Linked DNA regions of Arabidopsis thaliana. The protein of the gene in region 1 interacts with the protein of each later gene in a biochemical or structural test. Each region holds a gene or a part of one and is shown in the gene's direction. Other genes may lie near its edges.

Region 1 (4,551 bases):
GATATAAACGGTGGTGGTCAAGCAATGGCTGTGGAAGGTGGGATGGTTCCTATGCAAAGGCCAAGGCTGACAAAACTAAACGTATCGGTTCCTCCAAAATGGACACCAGAAGAGTACATGACATGTGCACTGCCGCCGAGCAGCTCTGAGAAAGACTCAGAAGTGAATCAGCCAAAACCGGTCCAACATGCACCACTGGTGGATTGTATCAGAACTCGGTGGTCGCGTGCCGCTTGTAGCTGGTCTGGAGATCCTCCAAGTATAGTCTGAAGAATGTTGTATTATGAGAAAGCTTGAGCGTTTATTCTGGCTCATTGGATTCTAAAGAAAGAAAACGGAAACTGCTGATCTGATTTGGCGGTTAACACGCGTCTGAACTTTCTTTGCGTTGTCCGTTTTTTTCATGTTGTGTATTGATGTAGAATTTTTGTTATCTATTATTGAACATTATTGAGACAAATGAATATTTCAATTGTTGGATAAAATTGCTTTCAATAACATTGATCATATTCTGATTTAAGACTAAGGTCTTGAAATGGCTAAGAAACTATGGTTTCATCCCAATACTTAAACAATTACATATAAATTTTACTTTTTGATCATGTATATTTACTTTTGTTATTATATCGCGGTACAGCATGCACCACAATAGTAGATAGTATTTTATGTTTGGTAAACATCTTTTAATGGATTTGGTTATACGCACTTCTACAACATATCCACCTTCTTAATTTTTTTTATAATAAAAAAAAAGTGTTTCCAAACAATTGCTGCTTATTTCCATTCAATTAGATCAAAACACTATTTTTTTCATTTGCTAGCAATCAAAGTCACTATTTATAGATAAGGGTAGGAATAATATCAATGTTTTTAAACATCATCCAGAAGGCAAACTGGACTACCTTCCGGACCATCGAGTCGAACCGCAAATCAATTGATATTTTTATATTATGTATTTATAGAGATTATATAGTTTTATAAATGAAAAATAAAAATGAGTGTGTCATGTTTAACAAAAAAATTGAAATCTAACGAGAACAGTAATGTAATCAAAAATTTTAAATCCAACTAAAAGTTAAAAATATATATTAAAATAATAAAAAATCACCAATGATAAAAATAAACTAATAAAGAAAAAAGACTCTCCACATCTGTTTGTTTTTATCTTGATTTAGACTTTGTAAATTTTTTTTGTTTTTTTTGTGCTATGAGTCTAGGAAGATTGGTTCAGATTAGTGTATTTGTATGTTTGGGGTTTTCCCATTTGGTTTGATCATTGTCTCTGGAAGTCTACATATATTCGCCGGCTTAAGTTTCTGGAAGGTTTGAATACCTTGCCGGCTATTGTATTCCGATCTTGTATCACCAATATAATCTATATTTCTAATGACAAAAAGAAAAAAGAAATTCTTAAGAGACTAAATATTCATAAAAGACGAGAAAGGTATGTTGGCTCGTATGTGGCCGCTTGAAAAGAATTGAAAAGGTTTTATACATAACTGATATAAAACAAAACTTTAAATATTTTCAAAATCAAATAGATTTCGTAAACAATCATCCAACCCGTTTAATCGGTTCACCGGATCATTGATCATGGATCAAATAGATTTTTTTTTTTTTTTTTGGGATTTCCCGTTTTAGAATTACTGAATATTAGCAGTAATCATGAGCGGTTGTTAATTGAAGTTCTTGTGTCTTTATATTCGATTAGTTACATAATTCCTTCAACTTTTGATCCTTGTAGACACATGTTACAATGTACAAAATATAATCTGTTGAAGTAAACCGAAACATTATTCAATGTGAGAACCGGATAAGATTATTAGTATTATTTATTTATATATATTGTTTTTTTAAAAGTAAATAAGTTGGTAAATATCGAGAATATAGGTTTTCAGACCAAACACATCACTTTGGTCCTACTTAGTACTTACCTGCCCCTCTCGACAAAATTTCTTTTGTACTTTCACATTTCTCTGTAATAAACTCGGTAGGTTTGCGAAAACCTCGCCGCCGGGAAAAAAAAAAATCAATGGAAGGAGGAGGAAGAGGACCAAATCAAACGATTCTCAGTGAAATAGAACATATGCCTGAAGCTCCACGTCAACGTATCTCTCATCACCGTCGAGCTCGCTCTGAAACCTTCTTCTCCGGCGAATCAATCGACGATCTCCTCTTATTCGATCCTTCCGATATCGATTTCTCTTCTCTAGACTTCCTCAACGCTCCACCACCACCACAACAATCACAACAACAACCGCAAGCTTCTCCCATGTCCGTTGATTCGGAAGAAACCTCATCGAACGGTGTTGTTCCTCCTAATTCTCTTCCTCCAAAACCCGAAGCTAGATTCGGTCGCCATGTTCGTAGCTTCTCGGTTGATTCCGATTTCTTCGATGATTTGGGTGTTACTGAGGAGAAGTTTATAGCTACAAGTTCAGGAGAGAAGAAGAAAGGGAATCATCATCATAGCAGGAGTAATTCTATGGATGGAGAGATGAGTTCGGCGTCGTTTAATATCGAATCGATTTTAGCTTCTGTGAGTGGTAAAGATAGTGGGAAGAAGAATATGGGTATGGGTGGTGATAGACTTGCTGAGCTTGCTTTGCTTGATCCTAAAAGAGCTAAAAGGTATATAATTTAGTGTTGTTTTTTACTTAAAGCTTGTAACTTTTTTGTGATTTGATTGAGGTTTGAAATAGTGTTTTGTGATGGGTTTTTGATAGGATTTTAGCGAATAGACAATCTGCGGCGAGGTCGAAAGAGAGGAAGATTAGGTATACTGGTGAGTTAGAGAGGAAGGTTCAGACACTTCAGAATGAAGCTACTACATTGTCTGCTCAAGTCACTATGTTACAGGTAATGTTTTGTATTACTTTGTCATTGTGTTTATGCAATTGGTGTGACTAGTGAAGGTTGGTGAGTAGATTACTAAATATCTTTAAAGCTTTGTGTTTTACGAAGCTGATGTGATTAGTGAAGATTACTCTAAGGAACTATTTCTGATATCTTGATTTGAGCTTGGCAGCTTGTAAGCTTGTATTGTTGCTTAGTGTGTTTAAGATTGCTTCTTGGTGTATAGAGAGGACATGTGTTTGCTACTAGGAACAAGTATAGATGCAGTGTTATAAGATATGTTATTCTCATGTTAATTTAGCTGATTAATCAACATGTGAGATATGTCAATAGTGTAATGTATACACTTGCAAGAGTGTAAGTTTTGTTTCCACTTTAGTGATAAAAGCAACATAGGAGTAAGATAAAATGATTCATGTCTCTTGCATCTCTAATCTGTGCTTTTTCTTATATTGTGTAGAGAGGAACATCAGAGCTGAACACTGAAAATAAACACCTCAAAATGCGGCTTCAAGCTTTAGAGCAACAAGCTGAACTTAGGGATGGTAAAGCCATTTTCTTTTTCATTGGGTCGTTCTCAATATGTAAACCAAAGTCCTCATTACGATATATATTGTTCGGTGTAATTTTCAGCTTTGAATGAAGCGCTGCGGGATGAACTGAACCGACTTAAGGTGGTAGCTGGAGAAATTCCTCAGGGGAATGGAAATTCTTACAACCGTGCTCAATTCTCATCTCAGCAATCGGCAATGAATCAGTTTGGGAACAAAACGAACCAACAGATGAGTACAAACGGGCAGCCATCGCTCCCAAGCTACATGGATTTCACCAAGAGAGGCTGAGTTCGTGTCACCTATATATGTTTGCTGAGTTATAAATACGTTATATTCATTTCGGGCTGCAATATTTGATGTATGTAAAAAGTATGTATGTATCCATGTATAATGGCTTTTGTGTTGTTAGCGTCTATGCAGATATGTTCATGGCGACATCGGTCTATCTTTACAAGTAGTATCCATTGTAATATACTACCCAAAAATCTTTATAGTAAGCACTTTTCCTAGGCATTAAGCACCGATCATCAAACACGCAGCTAAATCAGCGGCTTAAGGCACATACTTGCTGTTACGATAATGCTAAAACTCGGTAAACGATTGCGAACGACGAAGTGAAGGTTGATCATGCTCCAGATTGAGCTACAAATTGTAAACACTGTTTGAAACCTTAACTTGTAAATAAGAGAAACTGACAAAATTTTACGATGATTGAAACCAAGTTCAGGAATACAGTGATGAGGAATTTAAACTAGATGTGGCTTACTAGAAAACAACAATACCAACAAATGAGAAATGGTGCCGTCACTTGTGAGCTGGACAGATGCAGTTGTTGGTTCCTACCTCCGATGCAAGGCAAGGAGGCTGAGATCCATCCTCGTACCAGATCAATCTGTGTTTGACAAGGTCTTTCAGGAAATTATCAAGCTTCTCGATTGTAACACTTGGCATAACCACCACATGAGCTATATCACCTTGGCAAGCAAGCTGCCACCTTCTAACAAACTCTTCATCTTTAGGCCGTTCAAAGACCACAGTGCTGCTAAGCTCATTAAGCATGGCGCTAATCCCAGCTTCACGAAGTCGGTCTTTGAGGTAATGCGCGTTTCTCAAGCATTTCTGAACTTCTTTCTGGAATCCT
Region 2 (4,786 bases), on another chromosome or scaffold:
TTTATAAGCTTTCGATTTTGCCCGTACCTAATGATTTTCGTTTGTCCATCTAGGAAGTACTCGATTTAAAGTTTAGAACTAATTTAAACAATCATTGTTTTGATAAGGTTAAGTATTTGAAATCACTTTTAGATGACTTTGGAATAGTTTTAGAAGGTTATAATCCAGTGAAGTTTAACGATGCATCGTTATTCCTTAACATAAATAGAACTCTAACTTAAATAAATTTCATAACAAAATCAATATTTTTAACGATAATGTTGGAACATAAATTATATAGCGCATACGATTATTTAGAGGAATTTGTAAACTAAATATTAATATCTTGTTCGAACTCGAAAATAGCTTACTTTTTTTTCTTCATAAGTGTTGGCTTTGATATATAACAACAAAGTGTTACAATAGTGGAAAACTCCACTTACAGAATTCGATAGGCTAATGAGCATTACGATATTAAATTATCAAACACATATAGATAATCTCCTTTAATTTTCATCTACTCAGAATTGAACATTTTCATAATCTGCAAGTTCTGCTTTATCTTGTCTGCTTTCATTGGAAATGAAATGGTATATGTTGGTCGGTAAAAGACGAATCAAATTTGTAAACTAACAATGAACTATTGAAAGAGTAAATCTTACAGAAATCTCAAAAGAAAATAAGATACTAAAAAGGGAGAAACTGAATCTCTCACTTAATCCCCATTCGGGGAACCTTTACACTTAACACGCGATCTGATGGAGCCATGAGTGCAATCCAATCAATCCAAAACTTCTGCAAGGCCCTCTTACACAGATATCCTAACGAAAAGTAACCACAAAGATCCGCTTCTCAACTCCAAAACCAATTTGCGCAAATAGAGATTTTGCCTATTTTGCTATCTCTTTCTTCTTAAAACAAAGCCTTCTTAAAACAAAAGTCCAACAACAAAAGTCAAACCGAGCCCAATATAGTAACCCATCGAGGAAGGGATAAGAAAGCCATACAACACAGAGACATGTGTCGCCTCATGAGGAAATCACAGACACGTGACGAGAAGAACGTGTTTGTCGAGAATGCCAACCACTGCCGGCATGTTTTCTGAGATCGAAGAACGCCTACCCACCGAAAGTTCGTTCACTCCGCAAAACCAGAAGCTTCAAGTAGAGCACTGAAGACCCTCTAAAGAAATTGCACATCTAGTCTTCCTCTTCCAAACGAAATTAAACTCAGATTTAACAAACGAACGAAACTTTCTTTCATATGAAGGAAAGCGTCCACCATTCCAAAGTAGCATGAAGCATCACAATGACGTAAGCAACCAAAAAGATTTTCCGGTGAGACTTAACGTCGCCATGCCCATCAAGTGAAACTACTACAAAATTTGAACGACAAGGCTTATGAAGCCGAAACTCTTAAACTTCCACTTTTTCTTCGTAATGAAGAAACTTAATAAGTTTATTAGAAATAAAGACAAATAAAGGCAAAATACCAAAGAACGGCGACGATAAAACCGGATTTACCGGTAACTATAACTAGAACTCACCGTACGGTATTGAAACAAAAAGTTGGACCATGTCCGAACACAACCTCACAAACATACGGGAAGGCATACGAAACAAAGAATTTTTTCTTTTTCTCAAAATTTTAGAGAAAGAAGAGAATAAAAAAATTCTGATCGAAAATAGCTTACTTAAAAATCATAATTGAATAGTATCTTTTGTTTTTAAACTAATTTAGTCTATATAATAATAATATTATTAACCATCGTAAACCACACATGATATTCAATACTTATAATAAATTAATCGCATAAAATACAATACTTAAAACGAGTGTTATATAATTTTACGTAACGTAAAACAATACAAAATTTTAATTCCTGAACGAATAAAACGAGTATATTAATTAATTTATTGATCGTATTAAAACGAATATGATCCAATTAAGATTACAATTACTAAAATCCCCACACTATTATTGTCATTATTTAACTATGGCAGATAGATAGATACAGAACCGTAAAGGACGTTAGGAAGAGGAAGAACGTTGACGAAGTCAACAACGAACAGAAACCGTCGATTTGAGGCGGCTCTAATCTCAACCACACGATCTTCTCTGCCTTTCCCTCTTCTCTCTTCTTCTTCTTCTTCATCTTCTTCCTCGCAATTACCGCGAAAACTCATCTCTGCTCAATCCTCAATCTCAGTCTCTCTGTTGACTCCGACTGTTATATAAAACCATACAAATACCTTCAGATTCACTACTTCAAACCTCAAAGCAACCACTGAATCTCGACTTTGATCAATTGAGAGAGAAATGAACACCGGCGGTGGCCAATACACGGATTTTCCGGCGGTGGAAACTCACGGAGGACAGTTCATAAGTTACGATATCTTCGGTAGTTTATTCGAGATCACATCTAAGTATCGTCCTCCGATTATACCAATTGGTCGTGGAGCTTATGGAATCGTTTGGTATGTTTCCTTCTCTGAGCTTTTTCTTAAGTTTTATTCTTTGAGATCGGAGTTTTTAATTTCTGGATTTTGATTTTGTGAAGCTCTGTGTTGGATACGGAGACGAACGAGCTAGTAGCGATGAAGAAGATAGCTAATGCTTTTGATAATCATATGGATGCTAAGCGTACGCTTCGTGAGATCAAGCTTCTTCGTCATCTTGATCATGAAAACGTTAGTGTTTTTGTTCGATTTTGTGAAATATCTGTAGAAATTAGTAAATAAATCATGATTAGGGTTTTTTGATTTGGTATTGCAACAGATTATAGCTATAAGAGATGTTGTTCCACCACCACTAAGAAGACAGTTCAGTGATGTTTATATCTCTACTGAATTAATGGATACTGATCTTCATCAAATCATCAGATCTAACCAGAGTTTATCAGAAGAACACTGTCAGGTAAACTAAAAACTGTTCTTGGCTTTTTTCTGGGATTTATATTTGATAGAAGAGACATGAAACTGATACTTGATTTGGTGTTTTTGTTGTCATGGAAACAGTACTTCTTGTACCAGCTACTTCGAGGACTGAAGTATATCCACTCAGCTAACATTATTCATAGGGATTTAAAGCCGAGCAATCTTCTGTTGAACGCGAATTGCGATTTAAAGATTTGTGATTTCGGTCTTGCTAGACCTACTTCAGAGAATGATTTTATGACTGAGTATGTTGTTACGAGATGGTATAGAGCACCTGAGCTTCTGTTGAACTCTTCAGATTACACAGCTGCTATTGATGTTTGGTCTGTTGGTTGTATCTTTATGGAGCTTATGAATAGAAAGCCTTTGTTCCCTGGTAAAGACCATGTTCATCAAATGCGCTTATTGACAGAGGTAAAATATTTTAGAGAGTTATGTAATTTTAGCATGGTTTAAAGATTCTGCCTTTTCACGGAATATGTGATGAATTTGTTTGAATCTTGCAGTTGCTTGGCACACCGACAGAATCTGATCTCGGTTTTACTCACAATGAGGATGCGAAAAGATACATCCGGCAACTTCCCAACTTCCCACGTCAGCCCTTAGCTAAACTTTTCTCTCATGTTAACCCAATGGCCATTGATCTTGTTGACAGAATGTTGACGTTTGACCCCAACAGAAGAATCACTGGTAAGTTTCATACATGTTCTCTGTTGGTTTTTCTTACCATCACTATGTTTTGATTAAAAACTGAAAATACCATCTTGTGCAGTTGAACAAGCTCTGAATCACCAGTACCTTGCTAAATTGCACGACCCGAATGATGAGCCAATCTGTCAAAAGCCATTCTCTTTTGAGTTCGAACAACAGCCTCTGGATGAGGAACAGATAAAAGAGATGATCTACCAAGAAGCCATAGCACTCAATCCAACATACGGTTAGAAGTGCAGCAGCCCCGTGAATGCCTGGTATTACCCAATAACCATCCGAATGGCTACTTAGTATCTTTGCCTGTTCTTTTATTCATGTACTTCTTCCACATATGTAATCTTGTAACTTTTATTTGTTTGTTCATGTTATTTACTGCTAGTGATTAAGTGTAGCTCCAATGTAAAGTACTCCAGTTATTAAAGAATATCTATAGACTTTTTTACTTCACATACTCTTGAGTCTTCCCTAGTAAACAAAGAGAAGAGAGAATATAATTTTGTAATGTACAGAGCCTCAATATTTGTGGGAGACATTATAGAGCTAGAGCCAGAGTCAATGCTGTCGCCGTGAGTTGTCTATTCTCATTCAATGACTTTCAATAGATTTTAGTGGGATTGGCTTTAGGTAGCTTGCATTATTGAAGTAGAAATGGTCAATTCCTTAGCAATAATTAGGCACAAATGTGTCTTTCTTTAGTAATATTGTAATATCCTTTGTCTGACAATTTAGAGTTGACTTCTAAAACGTTGGGTTGGAAATAATGTTGTCTTCACACAGGCTGTTACGAAGCAGACAGTGATGGCTCAACTTGCATCAACGGAAACCTTTGAGTTTTTGTTTTACTTTCTTAATGTTTCTTTATTTGAAGCTGCTGCGCATGGAGAATAAAATATCGTGGACCCGAGAAAGTCATCATTGCTGTATTATTACTTATACTGTATATATGTTTCAGAATTTCAGGCCATTGTTGACAAAAATAGTGAAAGATTTCTGCTTGATTTTGAGACATGGCTAGTTCAGTTACTGGCGATGCAGAAACAGCGATATCAGCAGATTCAAGCACCAAACGCCGTGGTGGAGGTTGGATTACCTTTCCGTTTATGATAGGTGAGAGATTCTGTTTCTCTGTTTTTATATTTCTCATAACTTCATAACCATTA

What was found. The genes of interacting proteins can lie anywhere in the genome.
Region 2: the proteins of VIP1 (region 1) and MPK3 form a complex in vitro, tested with the Arabidopsis thaliana proteins (one study listed by BioGRID).

The regions. Positions count from the first base shown.
Region 1 is NC_003070.9:16,482,320-16,486,870, forward strand, and holds VIP1 (VIRE2-interacting protein 1), read left to right. Parts: upstream 1-1,911; 5' UTR 1,912-2,032; coding exon 2,033-2,631; intron 2,632-2,726; coding exon 2,727-2,859; intron 2,860-3,316; coding exon 3,317-3,401; intron 3,402-3,489; coding exon 3,490-3,698; 3' UTR 3,699-4,008; downstream 4,009-4,551. Other genes in the region: AT1G43690 (ubiquitin interaction motif-containing protein), read left to right, coding at 1-270; EMB1075 (Pyridoxal phosphate (PLP)-dependent transferases superfamily protein), read right to left, coding at 4,215-4,551. UniProt on the Arabidopsis thaliana protein: Transcription activator that binds specifically to the VIP1 response elements (VREs) DNA sequence 5'-ACNGCT-3' found in some stress genes (e.g. TRX8 and MYB44), when phosphorylated/activated by MPK3.
Region 2 is NC_003074.8:16,754,620-16,759,405, forward strand, and holds MPK3 (mitogen-activated protein kinase 3), read left to right. Parts: upstream 1-1,951; 5' UTR 1,952-1,973; coding exon of another isoform or gene 1,974-2,165; 5' UTR 2,166-2,298; coding exon 2,299-2,456; intron 2,457-2,539; coding exon 2,540-2,669; intron 2,670-2,757; coding exon 2,758-2,895; intron 2,896-2,996; coding exon 2,997-3,329; intron 3,330-3,421; coding exon 3,422-3,605; intron 3,606-3,687; coding exon 3,688-3,857; 3' UTR 3,858-4,255; downstream 4,256-4,786. Other genes in the region: AT3G45645 (uncharacterized protein), read right to left, coding at 1,974-2,165; NAXT1 (nitrate excretion transporter1), read left to right, coding at 4,634-4,733. UniProt on the Arabidopsis thaliana protein: Involved in oxidative stress-mediated signaling cascade (such as ozone). Involved in the innate immune MAP kinase signaling cascade (MEKK1, MKK4/MKK5 and MPK3/MPK6) downstream of bacterial flagellin receptor FLS2.